2 linked regions of the Mus musculus genome follow. The protein of the gene in region 1 purifies or fractionates together with the protein of each later gene. This does not show direct contact. Links are inferred from orthologs where the notes say so. Each region holds a gene or a part of one and is shown on either strand. Other genes may lie near its edges.

Evidence for each region.
Region 2: the proteins of Polr3e (region 1) and Polr2f purify together in Homo sapiens (affinity purification with mass spectrometry; 4 studies listed by BioGRID and IntAct, with this or other methods). This does not show direct contact. The link is inferred for Mus musculus from reciprocal best matches to the Homo sapiens genes POLR3E and POLR2F.

The regions. Positions count from the first base shown.
Region 1 is NC_000073.6:120,916,510-120,920,580, forward strand, and holds the start of Polr3e (DNA-directed RNA polymerase III subunit RPC5), read left to right. Parts: upstream 1-1,268; 5' UTR 1,269-1,401; intron 1,402-4,071. UniProt on the Homo sapiens protein: DNA-dependent RNA polymerase catalyzes the transcription of DNA into RNA using the four ribonucleoside triphosphates as substrates.
Region 2 is NC_000081.6:79,144,307-79,147,824, forward strand, and holds part of Polr2f (DNA-directed RNA polymerases I, II, and III subunit RPABC2), read left to right. Parts: intron 1-287; coding exon 288-357; intron 358-1,746; coding exon 1,747-1,877; intron 1,878-3,518. UniProt on the Homo sapiens protein: DNA-dependent RNA polymerase catalyzes the transcription of DNA into RNA using the four ribonucleoside triphosphates as substrates.

The DNA of each region.
Region 1 (4,071 bases):
ATATGTATGCATGTTCAAATGTAAATGCAGAAATGAGTTTAATTCTAGGTGGTGGAAATATGGGGTGTGTGTGACTATTTTTTTTTTCATCTTTTTCAGTGTTTTAAAATATCTAGGGCTGGTGAGATAGCTCGGTCAGAAGGTAGGTAAACACACTTGCCTCGAAGCCTGACAACCTAAGACGCCCCCACAGGGTGGAACAAAAGAACTTATTCATCAGGCAAGTTGTCCTCTGACCTCCACGGCCCGCCCCCGCCCGTTCCCCACTCCCAAACAAATAAATAAAGTAAACGTAAAAGTCTGTATGGGCATATTAACATGCAAAGATACTTAAAAATAAAGTCTGGTTAAAAACAAAAGCAAAACAGAAAATAAATCAAAAGTATAGTGAAAAACCAGCCAGCTGTATATCTCTATGTGTTACTGTGTTAATATTTATATACCAACCCATTCACAATATGAACAAAACTATTTTCTATGGAGATAAACATTGACAGCAAAAGAGCAGAAAGGATGTACAATCAGCCAATAATGCTGGGTACTAGGAAACTAGAGCAAGTCAAAGCTCGAAGAATCTTATTTTGAATATTACAAAGAATATATTTTATCTGCAAAGTTTTAAAATTGTTTGTGTACTAAAAATTTAAACACGTAAATTTTCAGATAGAACTCTGCAGACCTGGGGTTACAGTTCAGCTCTGAGAGCTTGGTGAAAGTTACTGACAGAACCAGACATCGAATTCGGGTTTTTGAGTGTCTGAGTGGCTTAACCTGACACCTTAACCAACTGACTCAGAACGCAAAATAAACTATCCTTTGCTTTAAAACTTATTTGGAACAAGCTTGCATCTAAATACTTTTATTTCAATAAGTGGCATGATGATAATATTGTTTATGGCAATTTCTATCGGCAGGAAATAAAATAAATAAATATAACTCCAAGAATCGAAAGAAAATATACGTGTCAATCCAATAAGTAGCTTCTTAGAAAACGACGTCAACAGCTGGGTAGTGTGGCCGAGCGGTCTAAGGCGCTGGATTAAGGCTCCAGTCTCTTCGGGGGCGTGGGTTCGAATCCCACCGCTGCCAAGGCAGGCTTTTTCTTTTGTCTCAGCGTCTTTCGCTCTAGGTTCCTTCTGCGAGCGCAGCGGCGACCCCTGCTGTCGATGTGCGCTCTCTGCACCACGAGCAGCTCGCCGAAGGGGCGGTCCCGCGCGCGCCGGGGCGGGGCATTGTGGGTAAGAGGAAGCGCGAGGGCCGGCCCCGCTCCCCCCACGTGTCCGGCGGAGTTTCTCCAGCAGGAACATGGCCGCTGCCTGATAGAAGACCCGGCCGCCGCCGTCTCTGCAGCCCGCGGGTCCCTGGGCCGTTCCGCCGCCCGCGCGCGGCCCCGGCGGAGAGGTGAGCCCCGACTCGGCAGCCTCGGGATCCGGGTCGCAGCCGTCGCACTCGCTCGGTGCTCCGGGCCGCGCTGCTGACTAGGCCAGACAGGCCCCCGCCGCTGCGTGCCGAGGGGCCGCGGCCTCCCGGGACCAGGGCAGGGCGCAAGGTGGCCGCCCGGCTTTCCAGGCCGCCCCGGGCCTGGGTCGCTCCGTTCGGCTGGACGGTGGGGAGACGACGGCGGTGCGGCCCGCGCTGACTCAGGCTTCGGCCGCGCTGCCCCGCCCGGGCCTGGCTCCCGAACCGCACCTGCGAGGGCACTGGTGCCCGGTGGCGTGGCGGCTTTCGGAAGAGTGGGAAGGGCGCCTGAGCACCGGCGACATGGAGAAAGCCACTGGACTCGGGGCCGCCTGCATGGGCAGGGGTCGTTGAACCTGGTCAACTCTGCTTAGCCCGAGCGGGCCCGGGACGCCTCATTCATTGATCTGTGTTTAAGCAGAGTGGCGACTGCTTCGTGGACCCGGGGACCTTCCAGTAACGGGGGATGGTGCACATACCGGGTCATCCTGGAATATTGTTTTAGAGTTCCTGGGTTTGGGAGCGAAAAGATAAGATCATACCTTTATCTGTGAAATGGGGATATGATTCCCGTGCTACGGTGTTTTAATGAGTGTAAGATGGGTGACACTCCTGCTTCTTTCATTTGTGGCTGTCTTGTTCGGTCTTATATTGGAAGAAAACATGTTGCCACGTAGCAACAGTCCTTCTAGGTTCGCCTTATCCCTTTGAAGCCGGTGTGTGGTTTAAAATAGGAAAGGACCCAGGGTTATGCAATTCACGTCGCTAATCAGCTGCTATATTGAAGAGGTAGGATTTGAACCTGTAAGGTTTTGCACGGCAGTCCAACCTCTTAACCACTACACCATACTGCCTTTTACCAAAGAGATGTGCAGCATGTTAGTTAAGAATAAAACCAAGGCTCTTGGCATCAGCTAGATTTGGATTTCTTTACCTGTTTTCTTGGGGGGCTGTGACCTTGGGTAAACCAATTCGAAGTTGGGCACTATAAATTTTGATTTGCACAGCTAATGAGAAGAGTATTATTTGGTACTATATTGATGCCTGGCATCATTAATATTTGGGAGAAAGAACTGTGATTTTTTTTTTTTAATTTTAAAAGTAATGATCCCATAACCACGACCAAGTATAATTATTATCTCCACTTAATGGTCCAGGAATGTGAAGCATAGAGAAGCCTTCGTAGAGTTTAAAGTCTAGTACAGAGGACAGCTAACACCTGACCAGCAAGCAGATCAGGAAGTTCCAGCTTAGGACCATTCAGGAAATAAGGAATTATGCTTGTAATGGAAGGGGCTGGAAGCGGCTGTTTCAGTTGAGTTGTCAGGGAACACGTCTAATCCTGGAAGGACTGGCAGTGGTTACATATAAGGAAAATGAGCATCCAGAAAATGACTTGGTGAGCCGGGCAGTGGTGGCTCATGCCTTTAATCCCAGCACTTGGGAGGCAGAGGCAGGTGGATTTCTGAGTTCGAGGCCAGCCTGGTCTGCAGAGTGAGTTCCAGGACAACCAGGGCTATACAGAGAAACCCTTGTCTTGAAAAACCAGAAAAAAAAAAAAGAAAATGACCTGGGATTGTTGTGCAGAGTGTCCTCAAGGATGCTTGGGGCTTGGCCTGTTAGAAGTTCAGTAATTGGTCACTAGGCCATGAGGAGATGCTTATGTGGAGACAGGGGTAAGATCGTGTAAGGGCTTAGGGGTCCATGGAAGGATTTGTTTTATGGGACAGTTGGAGGGTTGGGAGCAAGGCAGCAATGCTATAGTAGCATTGCTACTGACAGTCACAAAGAATGGCAGTCTCTTGAGCATTGGAGATAGGAGGGTGGAGCTAGGGAAGCCTTTTTGTTTGTTTTGTGTCTGTAACTTTTTTTTCCAGATGAGGCTTTGCTATGTTATAGCCCAGGATGGCCTCAAACTTGTTATCTTCCTCCCTCAGCCTCCCAAGTGCTGGAATTATAGGCATGGGTCACCACAGCTTGCTTTGGAAGCTTGGATTGTTGACAGGTCAAGTTTCATTAGTGAGTGTTGTAAAATTGGGTTGGGGGGTCTTGCTACCAGCATTTTTATTTTGCAAGGGCAAGGATGGAAAACATCACTGTGTGGCATGTAACAGTCATGCTACACAAAACACTGCTTCAGCTGTGGCATTTCCATGTATCTTCTGCATCATTGATGGGAAAATATTATTGTTGGTCATAGGCTAAACCTTTAAAAGCCACTGAATTGGATACAGTTGTCTGGGAGGCTAAAGGGAGGTGATGACCTTTGCAGGTAACTCAATCGGGTGCCGTGTTGAGAGAGAGAGAGAGAGGAGCCTCTATCATCCAGAGGGATCTCATTCTGCCTGATGGCAGGGCTGGGCAGAATTTCAGCCCTGGAAGAATAGTTGGGAACCATAGCCTCTTTTTGCATGTGTTATGTTTCCTTGGTTCCCCCTGAAATCCTGTCTTAATGGGCCACCAAGTACAGCTGCCTGTAGAGCCAGTACCTGCTTAACACATATCTGTGACACTCAGTAGCCAGTGCAGATGCACAGTGGCAACCATGTAGGACTGTGCCTGCCGTGTCCTGATGTGCTGTGATGGCCCATTTCCCACCGGCTGCCTCTTTCC
Region 2 (3,518 bases), on another chromosome or scaffold:
TTTACATACACAAACACACAGATAAAATAAACCTTAAACACACAGTCCCCGGACCAGAACAGTCCATGTGTACATGTAACTGGCGTGGTTCACAGAGAAGGAAACCACAGTGAAGGTGTCCTAGCAAACTGTGGGGACACATGGCACATGATTGGAGGCACAGAGTGACCCTCCAGAGTTTGGTTCCCTTGTTGAGATTTGCCGGCCCCTTGTCCGACACTGCTGAGACATGGGCTGTATCTCTGGTTCTGGCCGGTGATGCTCTAACCACCAGTTTCTTCTGGCAGTTTCGACGGCGACGACTTTGATGACGTTGAGGAGGACGAAGGACTTGACGACTTGGAAAATGCTGAGGAGGTCAGTAGCCAGCCTCGGCCTCTGCCCTGCAGCCCGGACAAGGGACGGGCAGCGTTCACCAAGGGCTTTCCCTGTTCACTTTCCAGGAATGCAATTCCATGGATCTGCTCCGGGCCTTTGTCTGAGTGCCACCTCAACTAGGTCTTGGGATAATCGTGTCGTCTTATGTATGGTTTGGTGGTGGTGGATCTTAGTATAGAGCCTGGAACTTACTATTTAAGCCAGACTGGCTTGTAGCTCACGAGAAATCAGCCTTCCTCTGCCACCTGAGTGCTAGGATTAAAGGCACAGGTAGAAGTAACTTTGGTCCGTTTTATTCACTACTGTATCCTAAATACGGTTCAGCATGTAGTAAGCACACAGCAAACAATTACTTTTTTTTTTTTATGTATTTTTATGCATGTGCACGTGTGCTGTATGCAGGCGCACTTACCTGTGCAATGCATGTGGAGGTCAGAGGTCATCCTCTCTCCTTCTCCATCTTATTTTTCAAGACAGGGTCTCTCTAAACTTGAGGCTCAGTGCTTCAATTAGGCTGTCAGCCAGCAAGCCCCAGAAACCCTTCTGACTCTACCACTAGTTCTGTGGCTATGCCTGTAGCACACTGCTACAGACCCAGACTTCTACATGGAGGCTAAGACCCAAATTTAGGTTCTCCAGTTTAGGTAGCAAGCAGGTTACTCTATGAGGCAAACCCTAACCCTTAAGTCTTGGTTTTAGAATCATGTAAACGGATCATGAGCTGCGCAGTTCTCTGGCAGCCGCCATTGCTATCAGAAACTCTTTGCTTTGTGTCAGATCACCATTATTCCTGTGTGCGTTTGTGCATGCGTGCTGCAGGGGATGAAACCCATGGTCTCGTGTGTTCTCTCTCTCTCTCTCTCTCTCTCTCTCTCTCTCTCTCTCTCTCTCTCTCTCTCTCTCTCTCTCTCTCTCGCCTAAATAGAGCAGAGGACAGCAGGTTCTTGCTCAGTATGTGTTTGACTCTCATTTACCATGACTGTTCTAGTCACCTGACCCAGTGACTCATTTGCCATATGAAAGAGCAGGTGTTTGTCCTGAGCTTCCGGTTCAGGGTGTGCTCACCACTTACAGGGCCAGCTGTTTGGGCAAGGCGGCTGGCTCTAGAGTTCTGAACACCGTCATCTTTACTGCTAGCTTGGAGGTTTTGGTCAGGTTGGCTGACTCTTGAAGCCCCTGGATTGGGGACCACAATCCTTACCTTACAAGGTTGCATGCGGTTAAGGATTGCGTGGTGTCAGTGAGTGGTTGCACGGTCCATGACATCCAGAAAGGGTTGAGGGTGGTGGGAAGTCTCTGTGTCATCATCGTCCTACCTGATCCAAAACTTGCCCTGAGATTTCCCCTCTTTGTTTGCTTGCTATCCAGGAGGGCCAGGAAAATGTCGAGATTCTCCCATCTGGTGAGCGACCACAGGCCAACCAGAAGCGGATCACCACTCCTTACATGACCAAGTATGAGCGGGCCCGGGTGCTGGGCACCCGGGCTCTTCAGATCGCGTAAGTGCTGCCCTTTGGCCGTCGTGTCTGTCAGTTCACCACAGTGAGCCCAAGCTGCTGGTCCTGCCCAGCCCTGGTGTGTCAGGACTTGTGCAGTGCTTTAGGGCACCTGTGGGAAAATGTAAGAAGTGACATGAGAAGTGACAGTAAGAACCCTGGTCAGCCGGGCGTGGTGGCGCACGCCTTTAATCCCAGCACTCGGGAGGCAGGGGCAGGCGGGTTTCTGAGTTCAAGGCCAGCCTGGTCTACAAAGTGAGTTTTAGGACAGCCAGGGCTATACAGAGAAACCGTGTCTCGAAAAACAAAAAACAAACAACAACAAAACAAACAAACAAAAAAGACACAGGAGGATCATGGGTTCACGGGCCTACCTGGACTACCGAGTGAGTTCTAGGCTAGTCTGGGCAACTAGCAAGACGCTGCCCCAAGATAAAGAATGAAAAGAGGTCTGGGGTGGAGCCCAGTACATGTGATTACCTGAGTTCAGAGAATTCCTGTCAGTTGGTCAAACAAAATAAGAGTGAATTCAGGCAAGGCTGCAACAGCTCCTTCTAGCTTACGCTGATGGGAGGGAGGCTGGCCAGCCCAGCCCAGTAAGCAGGCCCCTCACTTGGGAAAGTCTGGAGCAACGGTGGCTCTGGGCGCTAGGAAACTGAAGAGCATGTTGTTTTTCTAAATTTGGATGGCCGGCCAGTGAGCTCAGCCCATCCAGAGGAGGCAGGGTGTTAGTGGAACTCTAGTGGGAGACCCAAGCCTAAGGGAAACTGTTGGTATGGGGCGCGTGGGTGCTGCAGGATGGACTAGGGAGAAGGAAAAACACAGCAACAGCAGAACATTCTCCCATGGGGCTGGGGAGGCCTGCATAGGGCTGTGAGCATCCCTACCACGGGTTCATACAGCCCTGGGTAAAGTTGACTGCAGTGTCTGCCTCGGTAAAGGGTCTTATGTACAGTCAAGGTTGACCTCAGCCATCCTCAGCTATAGACCTTTCTTCAGCCTGGCTGCACTCTTGGCTCCTTGAGTAAAGCCACCTTCAGGGGGATATGTGGTCCTAGTGGCCTAAGGATAGTCTCTGTTATGGCACTCATTGGCTACATGTGGCCATTAAATCAGCCCTGTGAGGCAGTGCACACCTTTAACCCCAGCACTCAGGAACCAGAGGTGTGTTGATCTCTGTGACTCCAAGGCCAACCTGGTCTACATAAGGAGTTCCAGGAGAGCCTTGACTACACAGTGAGGCACCATCTCAAAAACAATAACAGTAAACCCCAAACAACCACCACTACAACAAAAAACACCTACCCAAACAAAGGAAAAGAAAGCACGCACACATACATACACACACACACCAATACTAGAGATACCTCAGATGCTCAGGGGCCTGTCTGTGGCTCCCAGTTAGCACGGGGACATCACAGGTACAAGACATTTCCAGTTTGCTGAGTGTTCTGGGACACATGTTCCTTTAGCTAAGATTGCCCTGTAGCAGGAAGCCTTCATTGTGCAAATCTAGCAGTGCTCACCACTGCACCTGTCGAGGATGCAGAGGTGATGAAGACATCACCTCTAGCTCCCCAGGGAGCTTCTGATGTAAAGGCAGTGTGGGCAGTGCCCTGCAAAGGATACAGAAAAGCAGGCGCC